Nothobranchius furzeri: one gene and its partners. The protein of the gene in region 6 purifies or fractionates together with the protein of the main gene of each other region. This does not show direct contact. Links are inferred from orthologs where the notes say so. Each region holds a gene or a part of one and is shown on either strand. Other genes may lie near its edges. The genes, in order: scaf1, cpsf6, dgcr8, clasrp, luc7l3, srpk2 and tjp2a.

Region 1 (3,500 bases), on a different chromosome or scaffold from region 6:
GATAATGATGATGGTGATAATGATGATGGTGATAATGATGATGGTGATAATGATGATGGTGATAATGAAGATGGTGATAATGATGATGGTGATAATGATGATGGTGATAATGATGATGGTGATAATGATGATGGTGATAATGATGATGGTGATAATGAAGATGGTGATAATGATGATGGTGATAATGAAGATGGTGATAATGATGATGGTGATAATGAAGATGGTGATAATGATGATGGTGATAATGATGATGGTGATAATGATGATGGTGATAATGAAGATGGTGATAATGATGATGGTGATAATGATGATGGTGATAATGATGATGGTGATAATGATGATGGTGATAATGATGATGGTGATAATGATGATGGTGATAATGATGATGGTGATAATGAAGATGGTGATAATGATGATGGTGATAATGAAGATGGTGATAATGATGATGATGGTGATAATGATGATGACGGTGATGATAGCTGGTGGTGGTGATGATGATGATGACGGTGATGGTGATAATGTTGAATAATAATGATGATGATGATGATGATAATGATGATGAAGGTGTTGATGTTAATGATGATGGTGAAAATGATGATGAAGGTGGTGGTGATGATGATGGTGGCGGTGACGACGATGATGATGATGATGATGAAGGTGGTTGTGATGATGATGATTAAGGTGTTGATGATAATGATGGTGATGATGAAGGTGGTTGTGATGATGATGATGATTAAGGTGTTGATGATAATGATGATGAAGGTGATGATGGTGATGGTGGTGATGATAATGATGGTGATAATGATGATGAAGGTGATGATAGCTGGTGGTGGTGACGATGATGATGATGATGATGAAGGTGGTTGTGATGATGATGATGATTAAGGTGTTGATGATAATGATGATGAAGGTGATGATGGTGATGGTGGTGATGATAATGATGATGAAGATGATGATAGCTGGTGGTGGTGATGATGATGATGATGATGATGATGATGATGATGATGAAGAAGAAGAAGAAGGTGGTTGCGATGATGATGATTAAGGTGTTGATGATAATGATGATGAAGGTGATGATGATGAAGGTGTCAGCATTTAAAACTTTGAATAAATCAGTTTCAATAGAATCTATTAATACACTCCATTGGGAACTTTTGCAGAACTCCGTTAACTTGAATCTTTTCCTCTCTGCCAGGTGTGCTCCTGGACCCTTCTGCTTTGTGTTTTTGGCATCCTAGCGTCACAGGTGTTCCTGGCCCATGGACCTGTCTCCAACACCAGGCTTCAAAAGGAGGCTGGCTGCCTCCTCGTCCCCAGTAGAAGCTGAAGAAACATCCAGGAGCCCTTTTCTCTGCTCACCCTCTTCACCCCCTTCATCTGATCCATCTTCACCATCGTCTTCATCCTCCTTTTTCTGTGCAAAGTCATCTGCTTATCAAAATCATGTGAAATGTCAAAGAGAGGTGTCTGGGGTGTCCTCCACATCCACCTCTTCAGCTAGACAGCCTCTCCCCACTCCTTCATCCAGTACCATCTCTGTGGCCTGCTGTCCTCGTGGATCAATGCAGTCCAGTGAAGAAGATGGCCAGAAAGAGGAAATGTATGATCCTTTCAGTCCGACTGATGGGGATAAAGAGAGAAGGGTGGCAGATGAAGAGGGGGAGGGAGAGAAGTATGACCCCTTTGATCCCACTGGCTCTCCAGAATCAGATGTAGATGAAGACATTAAAAAAGAGGAGGAGATTCACAATCCTGAGGAGAAAGAAGAAGAACCTCCAGATTCCACTGACACCTTTACAGACCAGCTGAGCCCCTGTCCAGCTCCCCAGCTGTCTCTGAGACGGAGACTGGGCAGCAGCACCCCCAAAGGCGAAGGGCAAAAAGAGAGCAGTGACTCTGACCATTCTGAGATAGAGGAGGGGGAAATTGTTGGAGCTGTTGACAGAGACAGGGCTAATAACAGACCTGATGAAGAGCAACTCACCTCAAACTCTCCCAAAATCTCTTTCTTTGCTTCTAAACCAGAGCGCATTCTCCGTGTGCTCGATGGAGATGGATTTGTATCCGTGTGCACGGAGGGAAACTGGGAGGATGACCAGGAGCTGGAGAACGAGCCTGTAGTTGGAGTGGAGGATTTGAGAAGGAAGTTGGTCAGTAGGAGGAAGGAAAGATATCACTCATTTCCTGCCTCGTCTCCCCTTTCTTCTCAGCCACCACTGCCTCCTTCTGTGCCTAAAGCTTCTGCAGTGTCCCCTCCACCCATATCTCCTGTAGAGCAAACTGGCAAGAGCCACAAGTCCTCCAAGAGCTCCAAGGAGCGTGACCAACAGAAAAGCAGAGATAGGAAAGCTGGAGAAAAGGAAACCAGAAGGAAAAAGCGAAGGAAGGGCAAAGAGGGGGATAGGGACAGGAGCAAAGAAAAGGAACAAGGACACAAGGCTGGGAAGGAGGTTAGAGCAAGGAGGAGCAGCAGAAGCAGCAGTCAAAAGAGAAAGAAACGACTACACAGCAGCCCCGAAGATTCCCACAAGTCCTCTAGAAAGGGAGGGCATTCTAGACTATCCTTCTCCAGGCTGTCCGAGGAAAGACATCGAGATCAAGAAAGAGACAAAGACAGGAACAGAGACAGAGAAAGGGACAGATACGGATACCGAGACCGGGATGGAGATAAAGACCGAGATAGAGATAAAAACCGAGACAGAGACAGAGATGGACATCGTCATCGCAGCAGTAGCCATAGAAAAGATGAAAGAGTGCATGATTCCAGTTCTAGAAAAAGAGAGGGGGAAAAGAAGGGCATACGCCATTCAAGCAGCAGAGAGCGAGGCCTCACGGAGAGGTCCAAAAGGAGCAGGGACAAGAGGGACAGCGACAGACAGCATGAGATGGAGCGCCGGCGAGATGGGCGTCCTGTTGTGCCCCCATCTATCCAAGACCTCAACGGGTCCGATCTCTTTGCTATTAAGAGAACCATCACAGTCACAACCACTACCACCACCACCACCGTACCTGGCTCCCCCAGACTGTCCACAGCATCTCCCAGTCATCCCACACAGGTCAGCGAGTCGCATAAAAGGAAGAAAAGAAAATGGCATTCAGGTGGAGCTGCAGAGGAAGAGGGAAGCTGTCGCAGCTGGTCACAATCGCTTTCACCACCCAGGTATCATGGCTATGAGTCGGACCGCTACTCAGACAAATTGGAGATTGACATGTTGTCTTTAGATGGTGAAGCCTTGGATTCAGATTACCCCTCTATGGAGGATACGCCTCCGGCCACTTTGCCTCCAGAGCCTCCTGTCCCCAGCCCTAAAGCTAAAGCTACACCCAAGACCAGACGAAGTCACCCCAAAAAGAAGTCCCACGCATTAAAGAAATGTGAGTCCTCCACGTCTTCTAACAGAACCACCAGTAAATGCCTCTCCTCGCTAACCATCACTTCCGGCTCTGCGTCGGTTTCACCTGGTCTTCCCTTAGCAAAGCGGGCCAGAAAACTGGGCAAA
Region 2 (4,118 bases), on a different chromosome or scaffold from region 6:
TCCAGCCCATATCGCCCGTGTGGCCAGAATATCCCACCTGGCGCTGTGTAGGGGCCGGGGTGAGTCAATCCCCAGTAAGTCGTGGCAGATGGCTGATTATACTGATCCAAGATCCTCTTGAGGTTTCTTCCTGTTAAAAGGAGTTTTCATCTCCACTGTTGCTACATGCTTGCTTTGAATGAGGATTGCTGTAAAAGACACTGACACTAGGCAGTGTCTCAATACAATTTGCTGGGTTCCTTATATGGGAAAACTTTTTACTAATTGGTATAATGAATTGAATTGGTTAGTAATGTGAAGTGCCATGAGATGACTTGTGATTTGGCACTATATAAATAAACTGGACAGAACTGAGGTAAATTTAATAAAATATATTATTTGATCACATGCTCACCAGATACAAGTCTAGAAATATTAGGATACGTTTTTAAATATTTGTTCTTAGCAACATTTTCTGAAATTACTGGAACAAAATCAACGGAATCGATTAAGTAATTTCAAAAGGAAAGAACCAATCAAGAGGGAAACAATAGAACGTTGATGTCTCTTTGTGCTGTTTAATTGAAACCTTTGTCGCCCTCTTGTGGCTATGTTGTGACAATACAACTCCAATCCAGTCCAACACTCCCAATACTAGGCTCCAAATAATAAAACATTTGTACGTAAACGAGCTTTAAAGATCTTTAAACCCGTAGAGCACCACCAGCTGCTATCTCGTTAAAACACATAAATCATAGAAAATGCAATATTTCAGTGTGTCTTTTGTGTGACCAAATCACGACGTATTAAATATTTCTAGCTGTGATTGTTTTTCTTAAATTAGCTAAGAAAAAATTCTTAATTTTTTGATAACACGTTTATTGTAATGCTGATTTAAAAAACCCCACAAGGGTGCAAACAAACATACAAACAAGAAGATAATTAATATTTTTTAATCGCATGCATGGTTATTATAACATGTTTAATCTTGTAGTAATTCGATGGTCTGAAGACATTTGGCCACACACAACTTTGGCAACTCTCTAACTGGTCCACTTGATAACAAGATGTACTTATAAACAATATTTTAAAAATAAACACAAATTGTATTATGTTACATACATAAGGACATATTTTTACATATATAAGAACATAGTATTGTTATTATTATTAGATAGATAGATGGATGGATAGATGGATGGATGGATGGATGGATGGATGGATGGATGGATGGGTGCAAGTGTGTCAAATTTCATGTCTCCAAACCAAACAGATTTTCATTATGAAACTTATTAGAATGAAAAGTGGGTTATTTACTCGTGTACCCACAGCGGCCAGCAGGGGCGCGCCCTGAGGTTGCTTGTTTGTGGGTCGTTGTTGGGTCTGCAGACTGCACCGCCGCGCGGGTAGAGAGCGGCGGATCGGGAGAAAATGGCGGATGGTGTGGATCATATCGACATTTATGCCGATGTGGAGGAGGAATTCAGCCAGGTATTATTAACTCACGGCAGTTCATTCAACCGTGTTTGGTTTTGTGGAGGCTTGTAATCATTTGTTGGTATTAGAATTGGATAAAATCGTATTTGTATGCGAGTCTGTTGAAGAGGCCTTTCAGGGCGCTTGGTTGCAGCTCAGCTTCAGATCAATGTAGCCTTTGAAGTAAAAGCATTCACCGAGGCGTGTGTTTTGCCCAAGGGTTTATACAACGGGTACATAATTATTAGTATAATTTTACGCGAGTAAACAAGATTTATAGCCACTTATTCGTGTAGCTCCCTTCCAGGCCTCCGCGTGGTTTCCCATGGCGGACCAGCGAGTCAAACAGATGCTCCTACTGTTAGCTACTATGAGCTAACCTCGTAGGTTTTCCAAACGATCGTGTGAATCAGCTCAGATTTTTATGAGCTGCCACCCATTCGCTTTTAAAGTAAATGAGTGGGAATGCTCCGCAGTGCCTGGGTAAGTGCATGTTTAATTTAGAGATGAGTTGATAGAACATTTGTAGCACTAGCTTGTAGAGGCTGCGTAAAGAAGCAGTACATCCGGGCATTTCGCTGCTTACGCCCCTTCTTTCTGAGGGACAAACAGCCTCCATGATTTGAACGGTAATCAACAATAATCCCTCAATGTTCCTACAACAAAAGCACGACATACGCAAGCTAATTTGTTTTAATGCCAGGGCGAGGTACCAAAGACAACAAAAGGGTGGCGCTGAAATGTCTCACACGAATGTATAAAACAACTTTAATGTAGTCCATTGAACAGTAGTTACATCTTATAGGAATTTAATCCCTTTAAGTCAGTGTCCTGGTAACAACATGTATTGAAATTTTAACATTATCTCTCATATTTTTAACGTGACACTGAAAACCCATTTTTTTTTATTATTTCTGAACATGAAAACAGTCTCCTACACCTATCTCCTGCATCAGCTTCTGGTAGGAAATAGTCGGTGAAACTCTAGGATTTGAAAAGCCTGACAGATCTTCATCACACAGTCACTTAACATTCATGGACTCGCCCGTTTTGACTCGCGCAACAGGAAAGGTTGTTTCTGTTTTAGCATCCGGTAAACAGCAGGGAACTAGTAAAAGCTACCTGTTGGTGTTAGCAACACCACCACACAGCAGAACTCCTTCAAGCTTGTGCAGTTTGTGGAGATAAAACATCAGTGTCACACAGCAAGCAGTCAGTGGTAGAGTTGCATTGCTGTTGGCCAGTTTAAGGGAAATGTCCAAGTATCAGGAAATAAAACACAAAACCCTGCCGTCCGAAGCTCACCTCTGATCTGGCCCACTTCTAGTTCCTGAAACAGGTGCACCGGAGCTTTTTTCCCCCAGAGTATGACTTACTAGGCATTTATTCCTGCTAGAGACCACCGCAAATGTATTAAAAATCTAAGTAAAGTTGATCTTTAAATAATACAAATCAGTAAAACGAATTATAGTTTCTGTAAAGGGGGACTACTAATGATTTATTAAGCACTCAATATAGAGTAGATTTTTTTTATGTAAATAAACAATTTAAAGTGAAAAGAATGAAGTAGAAACATCCTGTTTTTGATTCATACATTTTATCATACCTCAGGAACCAGAGTACCCAGCTCATGAGCAGATCGACTTGTATGATGATGTAATCTCACCTTCGGCCAATAATGGAGATGCTCCTGAAGACCGGGAGTACCTGGATGCACCACTTGCTCCAGGTGGCTCGGAGGGGGGGAAGAGTGCACCACCCAACGCATACACCTACACAGGCAAAAGGATTGCCCTGTATGTAGGAAACCTCACGTGGGTGGGTATCGGTCATCTTAACAGCCAAAATGTTTTTATAGCATTCATCAGAAAATTTGGTAAGATCACTCAAATTTTGTTTTCTCTCACAGTGGACAACAGATGAAGACCTGACAGAAGCCGTCCGTTCAATAGGCATCTCAGATGTGCTAGAGATTAAATTCTATGAAAACAGAGCCAATGGCCAGTCAAAAGGGTGAGTGAGGCCATTGTTTTTGTGTTTGATTTAAGTATAACCCTTGTATTGTCTCCAGCTTCTCTGATTGCTGTGAGCATGATTATTAAAATGACTCTTGTGTTTGTCTTTGCGTTCTTCAGATTTGCTCTCGTGTGTGTGGGTTCAGAAGCATCATCCAGGAAGTTAATGGAGTTGTTGTCGAAGAGGGAGCTCCATGGACAGAATCCCATCGTTACACCGTGCAACAAACAGTCCCTCAGTCAGTTTGAGATGCAGTCACGGAAAAGTAAGTTTAAAGTTACAATGGCAGATCTGCAAAAGAACGTCTACCAACTTAGGGTAGCTACCAATCTATTGTGGAGATGAGCGTCAGTGTTTTTGATTTTGATGCGCCGATCCAATCAAGCGTTTGGAGTTTAGGCCCGATCACTTGATTTTCCGAAGATGAGAATCGTGTGAAAAAGATTGGATTTAACCGTATAAAACAACAAATGTAACTTTTAATTCTTCCTGAATAGAAATTTTCAAACGGCTTAGTTTTAAGAAGACATCTAGAGGCAGACACGGAGCCGCTTTGAAGAATACCTCGTGGAAAAACTCTTAAAGTATGAACGTTTTATTCACCGGTGACTGGAGGAGTGAAAAAATATGCAGCAAGCGTTCTTTTC
Region 3 (2,861 bases), on a different chromosome or scaffold from region 6:
AGATCTTGCAGATGCTGCACCCTCATGTTAAGAACTGGGGCTCATTGCTACGAATGTACGGCAGAGAAAGCAACAAGATGGTCAAGAAGGTGAGGGTCCTCCTGAGCTGGAAGGTAGAAATTTACCAGAAATGAATTAAATGAACTTGTGCTTTCCTCAGGAGAGCTCCGACAAGAGTGTGATTGAGCTTCAGCAGTATGCCAAAAAGAACAAGCCAAACCTTCACATCTTGAACAAACTGCAAGAGGAGATGCAAAAGCTGGCAGCTCAGAGGGTAAGAACAGAGCCAGACACACGTTAGCGTTAGCTCGTTTTAGTTCCTACTCCTGATTCAGCAGGAGTTCTGCAGCGGCCCGTTTTAAAACCAGGTGTGTTGAAGCAGAGAAACTACAACAGGGATGCCCAGTCCTGGTGTTGGAGGGCTGGTATCCAGCATGTTTTTGTTGTTTCACTTCAACACATTTAATTCAGTGGTTGATTCACCTGTTCAACATGTTATCTAGCTCTACAGAAGCCTGTTAATCACCTAATTGATACTGAGCGTGTTGAAGCAGTGAAAGAACTAAAACGTGTTGGATATTACTCCTCCCTGATATAAAATTTTTACTTTTCCCAATTTTATACTTTTTAAATTTTGTTTGTTCAGTTATTGTTCTTGTGAAGCACCTCGTGGTTTTTAAAATATCTCTTCCTCCTTATGATGGATGGATGGGGGCTTTCAGGGACCAGGGCTGGACACTATTGTTTTAGGACATGTCCATTATGGACACCGCCCAAACCTCTCCCTGCAGTTCCAGCCCTGACGCTTCTGGCCTCCCGGTTGGTCCAGACCGGCGCTCCTGCCGGCATCTGATGAGCTCAGCTGGGCAACATTACCGTTGATTAGTTGCCCGGGAGACAAAAGGCAGTGATCTCAACCAGTCGAGGAGGCAAACCAGGATGACAACACTTGGTTTTTGCTCCGCGGTAGTTGGAGACCTCAGTGGTTGGTGGTAATTTAAAAACAGAGTTTAGAGTTACGAATGTTTTGTGAGTAATGTTAACTGGGTTAACTGGGAACGATCATTAGAAGATCTTTGACGTTGCCCTTTTGAATCTGTTAAACGCCCGCCCGGTTTTGGGAGAGTAAATTTAGTTGTGAAGATGGTCCTTTGAATTTAATCTTTGTGTTCTCGTTTGTCCCTCTGAGGATTTGAGTTACTTTGGTAGATAACTGGACTGTTTTCATTTAGATTAAATTTTGCATAAAAAGGATAATTCCTTATTTAATTGTAGCTTGTTTTGAGAAGGTGAAATCCCTGCATTTCATTTCATTCCAATCCGTTAAATAACTTGTTCCTTTCGTTAGAATATAGGCGTTTTTGTTTCGGTAACGTCCTCCCTGTGTTTTTCCGTTTTTGGCCCTTTAAAAAAAAAAACATTTATAGATTTTCCACCTGTCAAGTTTTGTTACCCCCTCCTCTCCACACGATGCACCAGTGCCGGGGTTGTAACATCAGTAACTAAAGGTTAAATTATGTTTAAATGATTGAGTCTGGGAGTGCGGACTGCCCATTCCTGAGGCTGATTTCTGTTTTTCAAGTGAGAACCCCAGTCTGGAGGAGTGGAGTCCAGTTGTTTTGTGTGATTTTACAGAAACGATTCCTGGTGCAAACCTTCTGTAGTTGTTTTCCATGAAGTCCGGTCTTTCTAAACGCATTGCTCATGAACTTTGTACTTGACTGTTTTCACATCAGGAGGAGACGAGAAAGAAACCCAAGATGACCATAATGGAGTCTGCCCAGCCGGGGAGTGAGCCTCTCTGCACTGTTGATGTTTAATTCTCATAAATCACTGATGAACCACCGCACTGAAAGCCGGTCACTGTCAAAGGTCACCCCCACGACGAAAGTATGCATCTCTGAGACAAAAGGACGGTGTAGTCCCACGTTTGACCAGCTGGCTTCCCTCACACACACACCCTCTCGTGACTGAGCAGATTGTTATAATGGTAGGACTAAATGCACTTACAGACCCCCGACTAAATACCTCTCTAGTTGCAGCTTTCTACGGCACTGAAACTTTATTGATTAAAATATGAACCACATCAGATTACAGCATGCATACGTGTTTAATCCATAAAAACCTCTGTGCTCATTGGTTTCTCGGTCAGTGTTTTCTAGTCACAATCTCATGGTTTCAGTGCTTGAAGTGTTTGAAAGGGACTACTAATATTTGTACTTTTACCATTCAAATGATTGGAAATCAAACTTTCTGGTTTATTTAGTGTTTTAATCGTAGTTTCTGGATATTTTGGGTGAGGAATGCAATTGTTCCGTTTTATCAATGAGAAGTTGTCGTCTTGCTTTGCATGACAAGAACATGCGTTGTGAAGTGATCACTGTTCAGAACTATTGGTGTGTGTGCGTGTGTGTGTGTGATGTTCTTGTTGTTGGTCTGACTGCTTCTGAGACTTGGGTGGACGCTTTGTTTTGCTTTGGTTCTTCACCCCATCCTGGCTCTGCTGTAAACCCAGTCCAGAGCCCGAGTCCTTTACTCCTACCCTACTGCCATGCACCGGTTGCTTTAGACATTTCATTTCTGATGCCCTTCTTTTAAAAAGGTAAATGAAGTTGGCTACATGTTGCCTTAGTTGATCCATTTCATGAAGGGCTCAAGTGCTAAATGTTACATCGGACCTAGAATAACCTTCAGCAGGAAGTGGGAGACCAAGGCCCATTCACATGATGAAGCATTTAACAGTCAGGTAAATATATTTAAGGCCTGTTCAGTGTCACGAGTAGAGTAGTAAGCAGCATGTGCAGAATTTTACGAGTCGTCTATGGATCGTGGTTTCTTGTGTTTGCCATCATTCTTGCTGT
Region 4 (3,102 bases), on a different chromosome or scaffold from region 6:
CTGAAGCTACGAATGCAGAAGGCGCTCAACAAGCAGTGTGAGTATGCCTGAATGAGCACGTCTCTCAAAAGCTGTGCACGGTTTTTGTGAATCTATGCAAAACTTTAAAGGTCTAACACGGGTTTTCTCTAAATTTCTTGTTTGATTTCTTTTTCCCCTGACCTGCAGCCAAGGCGGATAAAAAAGCTGCTCAGGTGAAGATCCAGCAGCAGGAACACAAGCGGCAGGTGTGTGTGTGTGTGTGTGTGTGTGTGTGTGTGTGTGTGTGTGTGTGTGTGTGTGTGTGTGTGTGTGTGTGTGTGTGTGTGTGTGTGTGTGTGTGTGTGTGTGTGTGTGTGTGTGTGTGTGTGTGTGTGTGCGAGAATCTATGCTGAAACCAACCCTTCCCCGTCATTTCCCCTCATTGCTTGTTAATTTTACAGGAGCGTGAGGGAGAGCTGCGAGCCATGGCACGCAAGATCCGTATGAAGTATGTGTGTGTGATGATGTGTACTCACTAGTGTGCATATGTGCACACTCTGGTGTGTAACTGTGTGTGCGTGCATGTGTCTTGCAGCTCTCTGACCTAAAAGTTTTGTGTTTAGGGAGCGTGAGCGACGTGAAAAAGAGAGAGATGAATGGGAAAGACAATATGGCCGACAGAGCAACTCACCTTCCCCCTCCAGATCCAGTAAGACGGGACAGTTTTTCATCACAAATAGATCTATATAAAAACACAAATTAGTTTAGTTTACCCTACAAGGCTTTTTGTAAATGCATGCCAACAAAATGTCACCAGCTAAACCTCAGATTGATTTGTTACCACCAGTTTGTTTAAAGGGCTAAAAGACGTTAAGACACGATCTTGTTTTTATTGTGGCTCTGCTTCCTCTGTCCCTCAGGCCGAGAGTCCAACTCATACAAAAGGTATGTAAGACACCACAGGAATCTTTACAGTCCCAGTGAAGCGTTAATGTTTGTTTGATTTTCATGTTCATACAAAACCCCGTCTCAAAGACCCGTCACAAAGCCTGCAGATTAAACCCGTACGTTAGGCAGCTTTCTCTTGAGCTGCAGATTAGTCTTCATGTTCCGATGCCAAACGAGGGTGGAAAGCTATTTTATTTATTCCTGAAACCAAAGAAAATCTCAGCAAAACTAAACTCAGTTTGGAAAACCATTCGTGTTCTGGGAAGAGCCAATAGCTACTGTTATTATTTATAATATAATAAGTAGTTATACTAACCTGGATATTTGATTTAAGATTAATTAATCTCTGATGTTGATTCTAGGTAGTTAAGGGTGTAAGAAAATAACAATTTATTGAAATATTGCGATATTCCGATACCAGTCTTGATTATTTAAATGCAAAAAGTTCCTGTATTTCTTTTGTGTGGTGCAATTCAAATCCTGGCTGCTAGGTGGCAGCAGTTTTTAACCTCATTCATTCTGATGGAACAATTAGAAATAGCGATGATTGTGGATGTATCTTTGAACCAGCTGAGTTTTCCCATCAAATTCAGTGTTGAAAATTGCAAATATGTCTGGCTTTTAGTATCACCATATATCGTATCGTCTCCCGTTGACTGTGATATATATTGTATCGCCAGATTCTTGCCAATACACACCTCTATGGATAGTAATTAAATGTATGATGCAGCACAAACAGATTTAACAGTGACTCAACATCAAAACATGTCTTATGTTGTCTTGGGTGGAATTCTACTTTTACACAAAAGTTTACATGAAGGGGGCGGGATTGAGCTTGTAATGAAACCAGCCTACAGGGGGCGCTTGTCCCATTCTAGGCTTGCACTCAGATGTTTAAGCTGCAGGCACAGAAAACAAAACTAAACAATTAAGACTGACAGTGTGACAGTCAAATGTCATTTTGCTGTTTTTGACATGTCTGGTGTCAGAAAAGATCAGATCAGTGATGTAAATATTGCTATCATGTGCTGGCGGCTTTTCTACAGCGATTTTGTTTTTTCCCAGAAGGTCACGATCGCGATCTCGATCTCGATCGCGGAGTCCGTATTACAGATACTAACAGGTGGACGTGGTGGACTCATCCTGCAGAACGTCCATTACAAACTGTCCAACAAGAGCCACTTACATGGAAATATGAAGAGGTGGAGTGACTGACTGTTGGTAACCAAACCAGCTCATAAGCCTACAACTCAACACGATCGCTCGTACTGCTCATACATGAAACAGACTGTGATTCTTTACTCATTTGAGATTTTTCTTCAAGATTTCTTCACCTCTGCATGGTACATTTTTTGTTTTCCCTCCACTTCCTCTGGAGATATTTGTACAAGGTGAAAGTGTGTAACACAAAGCAGTACCCATGGTTTTGCCTTTCATCTACCCAATGTCAATATTCTACAACAATCTACAATTTTGTAACGGGAAAACTAAGGAATGTTTCAAGCTGTCTCATAATTTGATTTGCTGGATATGAATTATATATAAATCCAAATCTAACTACTTTAAAGGGGGAATCTGTCTGTGTTTATTAAACTGTTGGTTGCTCATTTTGTACTCAGCTGGCCAAATACAGAAACGTGTTTCTCTAATGTGGAATGTTAAATGCAGAAAAAATAAAAAAAGATTTTGAATATTTTTTTGTCTTGGTGTTTTTGTATATATTGAAACAATAACTGATATTGTAGAAATAGCTTGATTTATTGCAGTTTTGGAGTTGTCAGTAGTGCGGTACTTTGTTTTGACCAGTTGGTGGCGACAAAAACAAGATGCGAGTTTTGGATCCGTGCTTGAACTTTAAATAATTTTCATTTGAGTGATTCTTGAAGATAATGAGTGTCGGAGCCGCAGCTGGTCGGAGCGAAAAGCAGAAGTGAATACTGACCTGGTTCCTGCTTGGTTTTAAAACACCTGTGGAGAATTAGTTCCCTCAGAGCCACTGAGGAGGAACTCTGACGATCCCCGCCTCATTAAAAAACATGATTCAGTCAGTCAACACTGACTAAACTCCAGTTTGTTGTGAGAAAATTAAAGGTGATAAGCGTGCGTGGATTGTTTTACCCGAAGGGGGCGGGATCAGGGTCTGCGGGGCGGGCGGTGTGCTCGGTCCATGCCCCCACCTCCCTCTGTCCTGCG
Region 5 (2,209 bases), on a different chromosome or scaffold from region 6:
CATGACGTAAATGCGCCATTCTTTCAGACCGTAAAGCATCAGAGGAGAAGAGCGGTTCTAAGAAAGACAGGCACACTGAAAGTGATGCAGCTGCCATCAGAGCTTCATCAGAACCAGAACCGATGCAGACGGAGGCCGCCGCCTCCCCCCGTCTGGTCAATGGCCAACAAGAGCTCCTCCAATCTGAAGGTGACACTCAGTCCAATTAAAACTGATCTGATAGGACCTCAGATCAGGCTCAGGTAAGTGCTGCCTCCTCTTCACTCCCCCTGGCTCTCAACCCACCCTCACACACCCTGACCCCTCCCCTTAACACCCACCCCACCCCTCCCCCTTGCCCTGTTATGTTCAGTTCAATGACTCTGATGTTGTCTGATGTACTACATGCAAACATCTTTATCCTGTTTTTGATTAGTGCATCGTAAGTATGCACTGAAGATGAAGGCCTAGGCCCGATGAGTGAGAAGAAGGTAGAAAAGATTCACTCAAAGCCAAGAGGGAAAGGCCAGTGTAGCCCTGAGGTACCCCTCGTTTTGTCTCGGTTTTTGACCCTTACACATGTTTATGTCACATTGTCAACACAATGACAGCAAAACGTAACTCATCAGTCTAAACTTTCTAGCTGTTTTCATGCCTGCTTTTACCTTATTTTACTGTTTTCAAACAGGAAATGGTAACATTCGATCCAGGGAAGAAGTGTCTCCATGTTTATTTATCTATCGCTCAGATTTATCCCAGTCATGTGTAGAAAGCCGAGAAAACAGATCAACCTTGGATTTAAGGTGTGTGTGGAGAACAGCAGCACTTAATGTAGCCATGGATTTCTGCTCCAGCTTAATGTGCCTGATGATGCCATGCACTGTGTGTGGGGTGGGTGGGGGGTGCAGCACCGGGAACCTGAGGACTGACTAACTGGAGGGTAGGGTTTATCACATGAATTGCAGCTGACTTCTATACCTCACACAGCGTTGGTGTTGTGAGCGAGACCACATGAGAAAAAGGGCAAATTAAAAATCTTGGATACTCTCTGACTGTCAAACTGTGCAGGTACTCACCCCAGGTACTCCTTTCTCTACCCACATCCATTTCTGAATGCTGTTGCCTGTCAGAACAAACCGTTATTCTTTAGATCGAGTATTTGAATCAACAGCTGTGTGTATTTTTTCTAATGGTCATTTTTGCTCTTGTGTTTATGGAGGAGTCGTGTTAGACTTAGACGATGATGTACCCTTTGCCATCAGCTGAAATTGTCACTAACATGTACCTGGTAGCATTGTTTGGCTGTTTAAAGTCACATTTCTGTAGTCTGTAGGGTGTTTCTGTGGTTCTCAGGTTTTTCTTTCACATGGCAAAGGGAATATCACGCAGCCTCGTCTCCACATTTAAACCTGATCTTGTGGAGGGTAATTGTGAATTGCTAAATATTTCAATTCAGAGAGAATAATAGGATAATGTGGCCAATTCACCCAAGATTATAACTATAGTTAACTTTTATGCATTAATGGTGTTTTTTTTTTGTCAGACTTCCTCCGTGATTAGGTTGAGGGATGTTTGCTTAGTGAATGTTCTCAGGTGTTGCTACGAGCCCGTGTTGTGGGACCTTTGCTAATATTGCGCATTGTGGCCGTTTTTCTCCACAGAGGAAGCTGGGATGACTTATGGAAGAAGTGGAAGAGAGCACCCGTCTTTACCCTGAACCCGACACACCGCTGCTTAAAAATAAGGTGAACCACAAACGTGTTGTGGCTTATTTAAGAAATGAACCTAAAGTACACGTGTAAATGTGGAGATGAACTATTCATGTTTTTTATGGTCATCTCATGTCGGTTATGAGGATAGCTGTGGTTCATCTGATTTTTATAAGATTGATTGGTCCATCTCTTAGAAAACTTAGTTAAGGTGCAAATAGGTTTTTGTTTTATTTTGAAAATCTTTACACATCCTCTGTGTTTCTTGGCATTTAGAAAAATGGAATAAACTTCAAAAACAGTGCTTGTGATTTGTGTTTGTTAGTCAGGTTGTCTCACTTCCTGACCTTTGAAGAAGTCCGATCAAAGCGTTTGTGCGATTTCAGGGAGTCTCTTCACCCCCACTTAGAGCCCACGATGAATGCTCTTGTCCCAAATCTGTAAAATATTACGATTTATTTTCATTGAAGACTTTTGAACATTTAAGATTTAATTTTGCCTTGCTTTTAATGTTCATGTTA
Region 6 (3,500 bases):
ACAGATTAGAACAACCTCAACTCAAAAATCACATTTTCACATTATAAATTCTACAAATTTCATTTTATTTAACAATTCTTGACAAAACTACTGTACTTGTCTTCTAGGTGAGACCAGCAAATGATGAGTTCTGTCTTTTCCCCATGGGCGATTTTCATCCGGTAATAAGAAAGCCCCAAAGATCAGCAGTAACCTAAACAAGTGTGCTTTGTTTTCCTATTTAACTCAATAAGACCGGTAACCATAAGAGTCCAATGTGTTTTTGTTTTCATGCCTCTAAAGTCATCAGACAGAATAACAGTTTAAAACTTGTTTATTTGTTTTCAGGAGAAGTTTTAGGATGTTTTTCTTTCATAAAGTAAAATGATGACAGAGCAGCCTCTCTGTAGACGTTTTTAGCTTTTATTTTCTTTAACATAGAAAATACTCCTACCACAGTTCATCTGGTGATTTTTTTAAGTGTGCTTTGTTTTCTCAGTCGTGGCAGACAACTGCTTGATCCAGGATCTGTTGGAGGTTTATCCCTGTTAAAAGGGCATTTTCCTCTCCACTGTCGCCACATGCTTGCTTAGTATAAGGATTGCTGTAAAGTCACTGACACTAGTCAGCGACTCGATGCAATTTGCTGGGTTCCTTAGAAAACCTTTAACTAACTGGAATAATGAACTAAACTGTTTAATCAGCGGGTTCAACTGGAATGCTTGAGACCACTTGTGATGCGAACTGGTGATATAAAAATAAAGCTGATGATTTTCAGCCCCCTATAGGTGTTACTGCCATCACAGTTCTGCAGACTTTACCAGCTGAGTTGAACTCTAATTAAAGCTGAATGGTAAATTTGGAAAACAAATTAGCTTTAAACAGTTTTTCATGCCTCTTAAACAAGTCACCCCCAAATCAACTTTTTGGCAAACCCTGCGTGCACACCCCACCCCCCATACATTCTAGCGAACTGAAACCCCCCCCCCCCCCCCAATAGAAAAACCTTCATATCATCATGAGACAACACCAATGTAATGTCTCTGTAAACAAAAGATGTCCAAAAGCCTTGTATCCATTTCAGCCGTTTAAAGTGTCTTTCTGGAGTTTCCCCGTTCAGAAATTATGTATGACTTTCCGTGCCGACCAGAACTGACCAATAGTGTTAAACTACCGCTTACGTGCTTGAAATTTAAGAAATACCTTGGCTGATGCACAGTTGATGAACTTTTCACGGACAAGAAAGTCTCTTAAGTATAAATATAGGAGAACAACATGACATGAGAATAATTCTTGTAAAACATCGTGTTTTAGCTCTGATTGTCAGCAACAGAAGGACATAAATAAACAAGAAACGTGAAGTCGCCATTTTAATAAAACGGAAGGAGAAATTATTTGTGTGATATGCTTGTCAGCCACTAGATGGTGCCATCGGATAAGGGAAATACTCCAGAAAGAGACTTTAAAGAAATACTCACCTGAACATTTCTTGATGCTTAACGAGGAACAAACTTTACAGAAACCGATTACATAGTCTAGGTTCTGTCACCAGAACATTCCTCAGAATGAGGCCAACAGCGAACCCACCAAGCAGCCACGGACTCTGGTTCTGTTTACCTTTCTTGGAGAAAAACTCTCGGCTGTACTTCCCGGCAGCAACCACTTTGCGTGGGACCTTCCCAAGGAGCTCCGTGATCAGAGCGATGTGGTCTGCCCACCAGTCACATACATCACAATGGGAACAGGCACATTACAGCATGCACACACATCTACACACACACATACACTGGCTGCACGGGGCTGACACACAGATGGCTTGAGGCTCAGCCTGGACACTCTCGCAGACTTGGGGGGTGAATTTGTTCCATTTTTCTTAAAGTTTAATCCAGTTTATCCATTGGGACCAAACGTAAACAGTCTGCTCATTTCCATTATTGTCCCTCTAAGACATCTTTGTGTTTCAGCCCCACCAGCTCTACGGCCAGCGCTACCTCTTCTGTTGAAGAACTCCCGGGAATATTTTCCAGAGAGTGCAAAGTGCCTCGGAATACAGCCCAGCAGCTCTATGATGTGGGCTATGTGGTCTATGGAGGAGATGGGGTGGAAGGAGGCCAAAACAGAGAAGGTAAGGAAGGGGGATGAAAGGCAGACAGAGCCAAAAATAAAAATAAGAGAGTGGAATCAAAGAAAAAAAAAGGACACAAAATAAGACCATAAAAAGGAATAAGGGTGAAACACCGGTAACAAAGAAGAAAGAGGGATAGCGAGTGACAGGAATAAAAGAGAAATCATTATGATGAGGTTAAGGGGGATGAGAAAAGAGAGAAAAGAGAAACCATCACAGATCTTAAAGAAGAAAATCCTGTTAATAAGCTGTGCCTCCACAGGAGAAGTAAGGAAAGGAAAAAAAAAGTGAAACAAATACATCAAAGACAACTCGGCTTGCAATAGATCAAAGATGTTTCCTGTAAATTGGGATGTCTGAAAAACCGACGCTGACTTGATGCAAAAAATCCTGGAGAAGGGAGCTAACTGTGGCTCATGAAGCTAGAAAAACAACACAATGAGCTGAGCCAGATCAAATGATAATAATAATAATAAAAAAATTTAAGCGCCTTTCAGGACACCCAAGGTCACTTTACAGGAAAAATACATTCAGTAAATTACATTAAAACAACATTAAAACACAATGAAGAAAAGAACATAGAAAAAACTAAATTCAAATAAAATCAGAGGTCATAGGCAGATTTGAACAGGTGTGTCTTGAGTCTGGATTAGAAGAGGGTGAAACTGTCAATATTTCTGATGTCTAGGGGGAGTGAGTTCCAGAGACGGGGAGCAGAGCGGCTGAAAGCTCTGCTCCCCGTGGTAGTGAGACGGGCAGAAAGAACAGCAAGATGGAGGGAGGAAGACGATCTGAGGGAACCGGAGAGGGTGGTAATACGTTTAAGGTCTGAAATATATGGAGGAGAATGTTTAAGATGGACCTGAATTTAACTGGAAGCCAGTAAAGCTGCTGGAGAACCGGGGTGATGTGGTGAAAGGAAGGGGTTCTTGTGATAATACGGGCTGCTGAGTTCTGGACCAGTTGAAGTTTATGAAGGAGTTGTAGGGGAGACCAAAAAGAAACGAATTGCAGTAATCGAGGTGGAAGACTGTGGACACGAATGGCGGCGGTGTGAGGGGTAAGGGAGGGGCAGAGACGGTTTATGGATCAAATATGGAAATAGGCTGACCGAGTTATGTTATTGATGTGAGCATGAAAAGAAAGTGAGCTTTCGAGAATGACACCCATACTCTTAACCTGAGGGGATGGGGTGACTGTGGCGCTGTCAATGGTTAAAGAAAAGCTGTCCGATTTGGAGACGGTGGATTTGGTACAGACAAGAAGAAGTTCAGTTTTATTTCCACCGAGTTTGAGGAAATTAGACGTGAACCAAGATTTGATTTCTGAGAGGCAGAGGGTAAGGGAGGAGGGTGGGAGAGTGGAGTTAAGTTTACTGGAAATGTGGGTGTCATCC
Region 7 (3,500 bases), on a different chromosome or scaffold from region 6:
AGTATTACTCCACTCCCACTTCCTGTTTGAAAAATGCAACAAATGCTGTTGCCTAGCAGACCGAGAGGGCGGAGCTGCTAACAAATACACACACACAGGCTCACATTGACATTGTGACATCATATGGTACCAGCTAACGTTCTAGGGTACCTCTTAGCCAATAGCGATGGCAAATTTAAATTCAAGTTTAGTGCAGAGTTTTTACCTGACAATGGCACAACACTGCCAGTTTTAGGCAGAACATTTAAATTTTAACTAAAATGCACTAAAGTGCAAAACTATTGACTACACGTGTCTGCATCACGACTAGACACGCATTTATATAGTTTATCAGGAAAAAAAGTTGATTTGAGGGTGACTTGCTCTTTAAAGATCTTTCTGTTGCATGTGAAAACTTAAAGGAGCAATAAGTAAGAATTCAATAGTGAATTAATCACAAAACAGTCTGTCTACATCGTGTTGGAAGGAAGGTCACACTCACAGGTTTCATCCTCAGCTGGCTGCTGGGGCTAGAAGCTAATCATCACAGGAAGCATCGGGGCTCGCGTTATTCAGGGAGTTAAACATCAACGTTGCATTTTTTACCCAAGAAAACGTTTCTTCTTTAACGCAGAAACGACTCTAGCTGGGATTAAGTAATCATCTCCTGTCTTATTTTAAATTTCCGTAGCATTTTCTTCATCACAGTTCAGGCTGGTTACCAAAGACACCAGGAGGAGGGCGACATTAAAGCTGCCAGTTTGGCTGAGAATGTGTTTTACTCATGTCTGCACATGCTGCAAGTGATCGGGTCAGGGAGGCTGCAGATTATGATCTGTAGTGTCTTTGTGCGGGTCTGGGCTCTTTGCAGTCGAGCATGAGGGAGAAACATGTCTCAGATGTGAAATAAATGTGATTTTGAGTGTAAAAATCATGTCTCTGGTCTAGAAGGTTCAAGCCTTTTTAGAGCATCTAAAAATGGACCTTTCTGCCTGGTGAATCCCATGTGAGTGTGCAGACTTTCTGTTGGGTTTAACAACACGCCAGCAGAGATGTTCCCTTTAAACATTCATCACCTCCTCTTAAAAGTTTAAAATGTGAAGATCACAGCACACTTGGTGGGATTAACTTTTGAGGGAGTAATGTGGAGAAATTGGTGCTGGAAGCGATAATCTGTTGGTTATAATGTTTAGTTGCGTTTTGAGAAAAGGATGGACCTACATGACTCGCAATACGACCAGGATGTGAGTTATGGGTGAAAGAAGGATTTGTGTTTCCTCTTCAGTCAAAAACATGTGTGTTGTGTACCTTATCAAAATAAAAGCATCAAATACAATAGATTGCTTATTAATGTGACCGTGTGAGCGTCCTGTCACAGTATCCCGACTGATCCTGCGCCCTGGCTACTTGCCAAGGGGATGTCCCTTTGGCTGACTGGTTAGCATGCATGACTCTCACCCGGGAGTCTGGGGATCGAATCCCGCCTGGGCCCTCGTTTCTCCACCTTGCCACATTAAGATTCGTGTTCACTTTGAGTTTTTCATCCTTACAATTCAAATCAATTCAAGTTTATTTATAAAGCGCCAAATCACAACAAGAGTCGTCTCAAGGACCTTCACACAGTAAACATTCCAACACAGGTCAGGTCATTAAGCCAATCAGTAAAAAGTTTCCTATGTAAGGAACCCAGCAGGTTGCATCAAGTCACTGACTAGTGTCAGTGACTATACAGCAATCCTCATACTAAGCAAGCATGCAGCGACAGTGGAGAGGAAAACTCCCTTTTAACAGGAAGAAACCTCCAGAGGATCCTGGCTCAGTATAAGCAGCCATCCTCCACCACTCACTGGGAAGAATACACACACACACATGCAGACATACACACGCATACACACGCGCATGCACGCACACACACACACACACGCACGCACGCACGCACGCATCTGTCTTTCTATCGTAATCCCCCCATTGACTTTGATTCTTTTTTTTGTGATTTCACCATGCCTAACCCATACCATAACCAATGCTGATCTGTTCCTAACCCATTCACACCAGACCTCTAACTGATATAGTAAGCTTCTAAAAAAAATGAGGACCCAAAAAATGTCCTCACATTGTAGGGAGAGTGTTCAAAATGGTTCTCAGAATGTAGTATGTACAAGAACGCACACACACACACACACAAACACACACACCACACACACACACACACACACACACACAAAGTGTGTGTATTTCTTAGTAAATATTCTATTTGGTGAGAGAAACACATGAACAAATGAACATCAAGTGGATTAAATTAAGTCTGGGCGATGTGGCCTAAAATAAATATCACGACATATCGAGTTAAACTCTAACGTAAATAAACAATAACTACATGCACAAAAGCACTAGATGGGGCCGTCACGGGTATTACGTAGAGTTACGTTGTCATGTGACTGGAGATGGTCCAGCTAGTTAAAGGGACATGAACTTCACCAACTTACACGCATCTATTCTTTTATTTATTTATTTTTATTTATTTTTTTTACTATCGAATTAATTGACATGGGGAAAAATGGTTTTGGTTAGAAATGACCGATGGATACATTTTTGAGTTATCGCCTAGTCCTAGATTACATTGTTTATGTGATTGTTAGCAACATTTGGTCAGTTTTGCAGCCTTGCAGTACACGATATCATAAACTACACCGGTCAGCCTAGAGAAGCTGAAACTCCCACTGAAGAACAGGGTTTTCTGCTCGGTTTCACCTTTTGGGCTGATGACCTGTCACTTTTTTGTCCCAGATCTGTGTAAAAAATTAATGTGTTTTCCTTCCATCCACAGGGACCAGGGTTGCTCCGACCCGACCAGTACTGACCTACTGAAGTCTGGCCGTAAGTTCTGCTGGTCCAGAGAGACCCATTACTTGTATCTTCACCGCCTCTCTTCAAGAAGTTTCTCAGCCATCACTATGGTAGGACACTTCTCTGATGTTTATTATTGATGAGAGGGAAGGAATGGAGAATCATTTGGTTCTGTGAGAACATGGGTCAGGGTTTCAGTTCAGTTGTCTCCGGGTACGATCCATCCAACGGACTTCACTTAAAGATGTTGGTAAAGGAACAGAAGTCAGAACAATCTCAGTTGGGAGACTCGGAGAGGATTTCTCATGTGGGAGTTGAGCTGCTCCTACAAGAAATCTACTATGGCAGTTTCAATGATCTATAATAAAGGGATGTTCTTACACTTAAGTGTGTTTCTGTTTAAAATTTGTAAATTCTTATTTTACCCATTGTAGAAGGCTTTCTGAAGGGCCTCTGCTCAGAGAAATGGTTCACATCCATCAGGACTAACGAGCTAACGGCTAGTTTGAGGGAAGACCATACCAGAGTGTATTAAATCAGATGGAGATAACTTTAAGACGCTTACATTCCTCCAAACTGATAAAATACGCATTTTAATTAGATTCCTAAGAAGTTCATTTTTATTTTCATGTTGCTTGTATTTGTCCTCTAATTGATTTTTTTCTGCTTTTTTT

What was found.
Region 1: the proteins of srpk2 (region 6) and scaf1 purify together in Homo sapiens (affinity purification with mass spectrometry; 3 studies listed by BioGRID and IntAct, with this or other methods). This does not show direct contact. The link is inferred for Nothobranchius furzeri from reciprocal best matches to the Homo sapiens genes SRPK2 and SCAF1.
Region 2: the proteins of srpk2 (region 6) and cpsf6 purify together in Homo sapiens (affinity purification with mass spectrometry; 3 studies listed by BioGRID and IntAct, with this or other methods). This does not show direct contact. The link is inferred for Nothobranchius furzeri from reciprocal best matches to the Homo sapiens genes SRPK2 and CPSF6.
Region 3: the proteins of srpk2 (region 6) and dgcr8 purify together in Homo sapiens (affinity purification with mass spectrometry; 3 studies listed by BioGRID and IntAct, with this or other methods). This does not show direct contact. The link is inferred for Nothobranchius furzeri from reciprocal best matches to the Homo sapiens genes SRPK2 and DGCR8.
Region 4: the proteins of srpk2 (region 6) and clasrp purify together in Homo sapiens (affinity purification with mass spectrometry; 3 studies listed by BioGRID and IntAct, with this or other methods). This does not show direct contact. The link is inferred for Nothobranchius furzeri from reciprocal best matches to the Homo sapiens genes SRPK2 and CLASRP.
Region 5: the proteins of srpk2 (region 6) and luc7l3 purify together in Homo sapiens (affinity purification with mass spectrometry; 3 studies listed by BioGRID and IntAct, with this or other methods). This does not show direct contact. The link is inferred for Nothobranchius furzeri from reciprocal best matches to the Homo sapiens genes SRPK2 and LUC7L3.
Region 7: the proteins of srpk2 (region 6) and tjp2a purify together in Homo sapiens (affinity purification with mass spectrometry; 3 studies listed by BioGRID and IntAct, with this or other methods). This does not show direct contact. The link is inferred for Nothobranchius furzeri from reciprocal best matches to the Homo sapiens genes SRPK2 and TJP2.

What each region holds. Positions count from the first base shown.
Region 1 is NC_091758.1:13,840,717-13,844,216, forward strand, and holds part of scaf1 (splicing factor, arginine/serine-rich 19), read left to right. Parts: intron 1-1,195; 5' UTR 1,196-1,259; coding exon 1,260-3,500.
Region 2 is NC_091741.1:47,840,563-47,844,680, forward strand, and holds the start of cpsf6 (cleavage and polyadenylation specificity factor subunit 6), read left to right. Parts: upstream 1-1,318; 5' UTR 1,319-1,410; coding exon 1,411-1,470; intron 1,471-3,066; coding exon 3,067-3,273; intron 3,274-3,364; coding exon 3,365-3,468; intron 3,469-3,590; coding exon 3,591-3,736; intron 3,737-4,118. UniProt on the Homo sapiens protein: Component of the cleavage factor Im (CFIm) complex that functions as an activator of the pre-mRNA 3'-end cleavage and polyadenylation processing required for the maturation of pre-mRNA into functional mRNAs.
Region 3 is NC_091757.1:31,769,476-31,772,336, forward strand, and holds the end of dgcr8 (microprocessor complex subunit DGCR8), read left to right. Parts: coding exon 1-89; intron 90-160; coding exon 161-274; intron 275-1,736; coding exon 1,737-1,820; 3' UTR 1,821-2,361; downstream 2,362-2,861.
Region 4 is NC_091753.1:42,025,199-42,028,300, reverse strand, and holds the end of clasrp (CLK4-associating serine/arginine rich protein), read left to right. Parts: coding exon 1-37; intron 38-168; coding exon 169-227; intron 228-422; coding exon 423-469; intron 470-584; coding exon 585-670; intron 671-881; coding exon 882-906; intron 907-1,974; coding exon 1,975-2,029; 3' UTR 2,030-2,602; downstream 2,603-3,102. UniProt on the Homo sapiens protein: Probably functions as an alternative splicing regulator. May regulate the mRNA splicing of genes such as CLK1. May act by regulating members of the CLK kinase family.
Region 5 is NC_091752.1:53,179,718-53,181,926, reverse strand, and holds part of luc7l3 (luc7-like protein 3), read left to right. Parts: intron 1-27; coding exon 28-209; 3' UTR 210-242; intron 243-1,640; 3' UTR 1,641-2,209. UniProt on the Homo sapiens protein: Binds cAMP regulatory element DNA sequence. May play a role in RNA splicing.
Region 6 is NC_091744.1:58,271,275-58,274,774, forward strand, and holds part of srpk2 (SRSF protein kinase 2), read right to left. Parts: intron 2,064-3,500; coding exon 1,971-2,063; intron 1,690-1,970; coding exon 1,597-1,689; intron 1-1,596. UniProt on the Homo sapiens protein: Serine/arginine-rich protein-specific kinase which specifically phosphorylates its substrates at serine residues located in regions rich in arginine/serine dipeptides, known as RS domains and is involved in the phosphorylation of SR splicing factors and the regulation of splicing.
Region 7 is NC_091746.1:73,933,135-73,936,634, reverse strand, and holds part of tjp2a (tight junction protein ZO-2a), read left to right. Parts: intron 1-2,806; coding exon 2,807-2,936; intron 2,937-3,500. UniProt on the Homo sapiens protein: Plays a role in tight junctions and adherens junctions. Acts as a positive regulator of RANKL-induced osteoclast differentiation, potentially via mediating downstream transcriptional activity.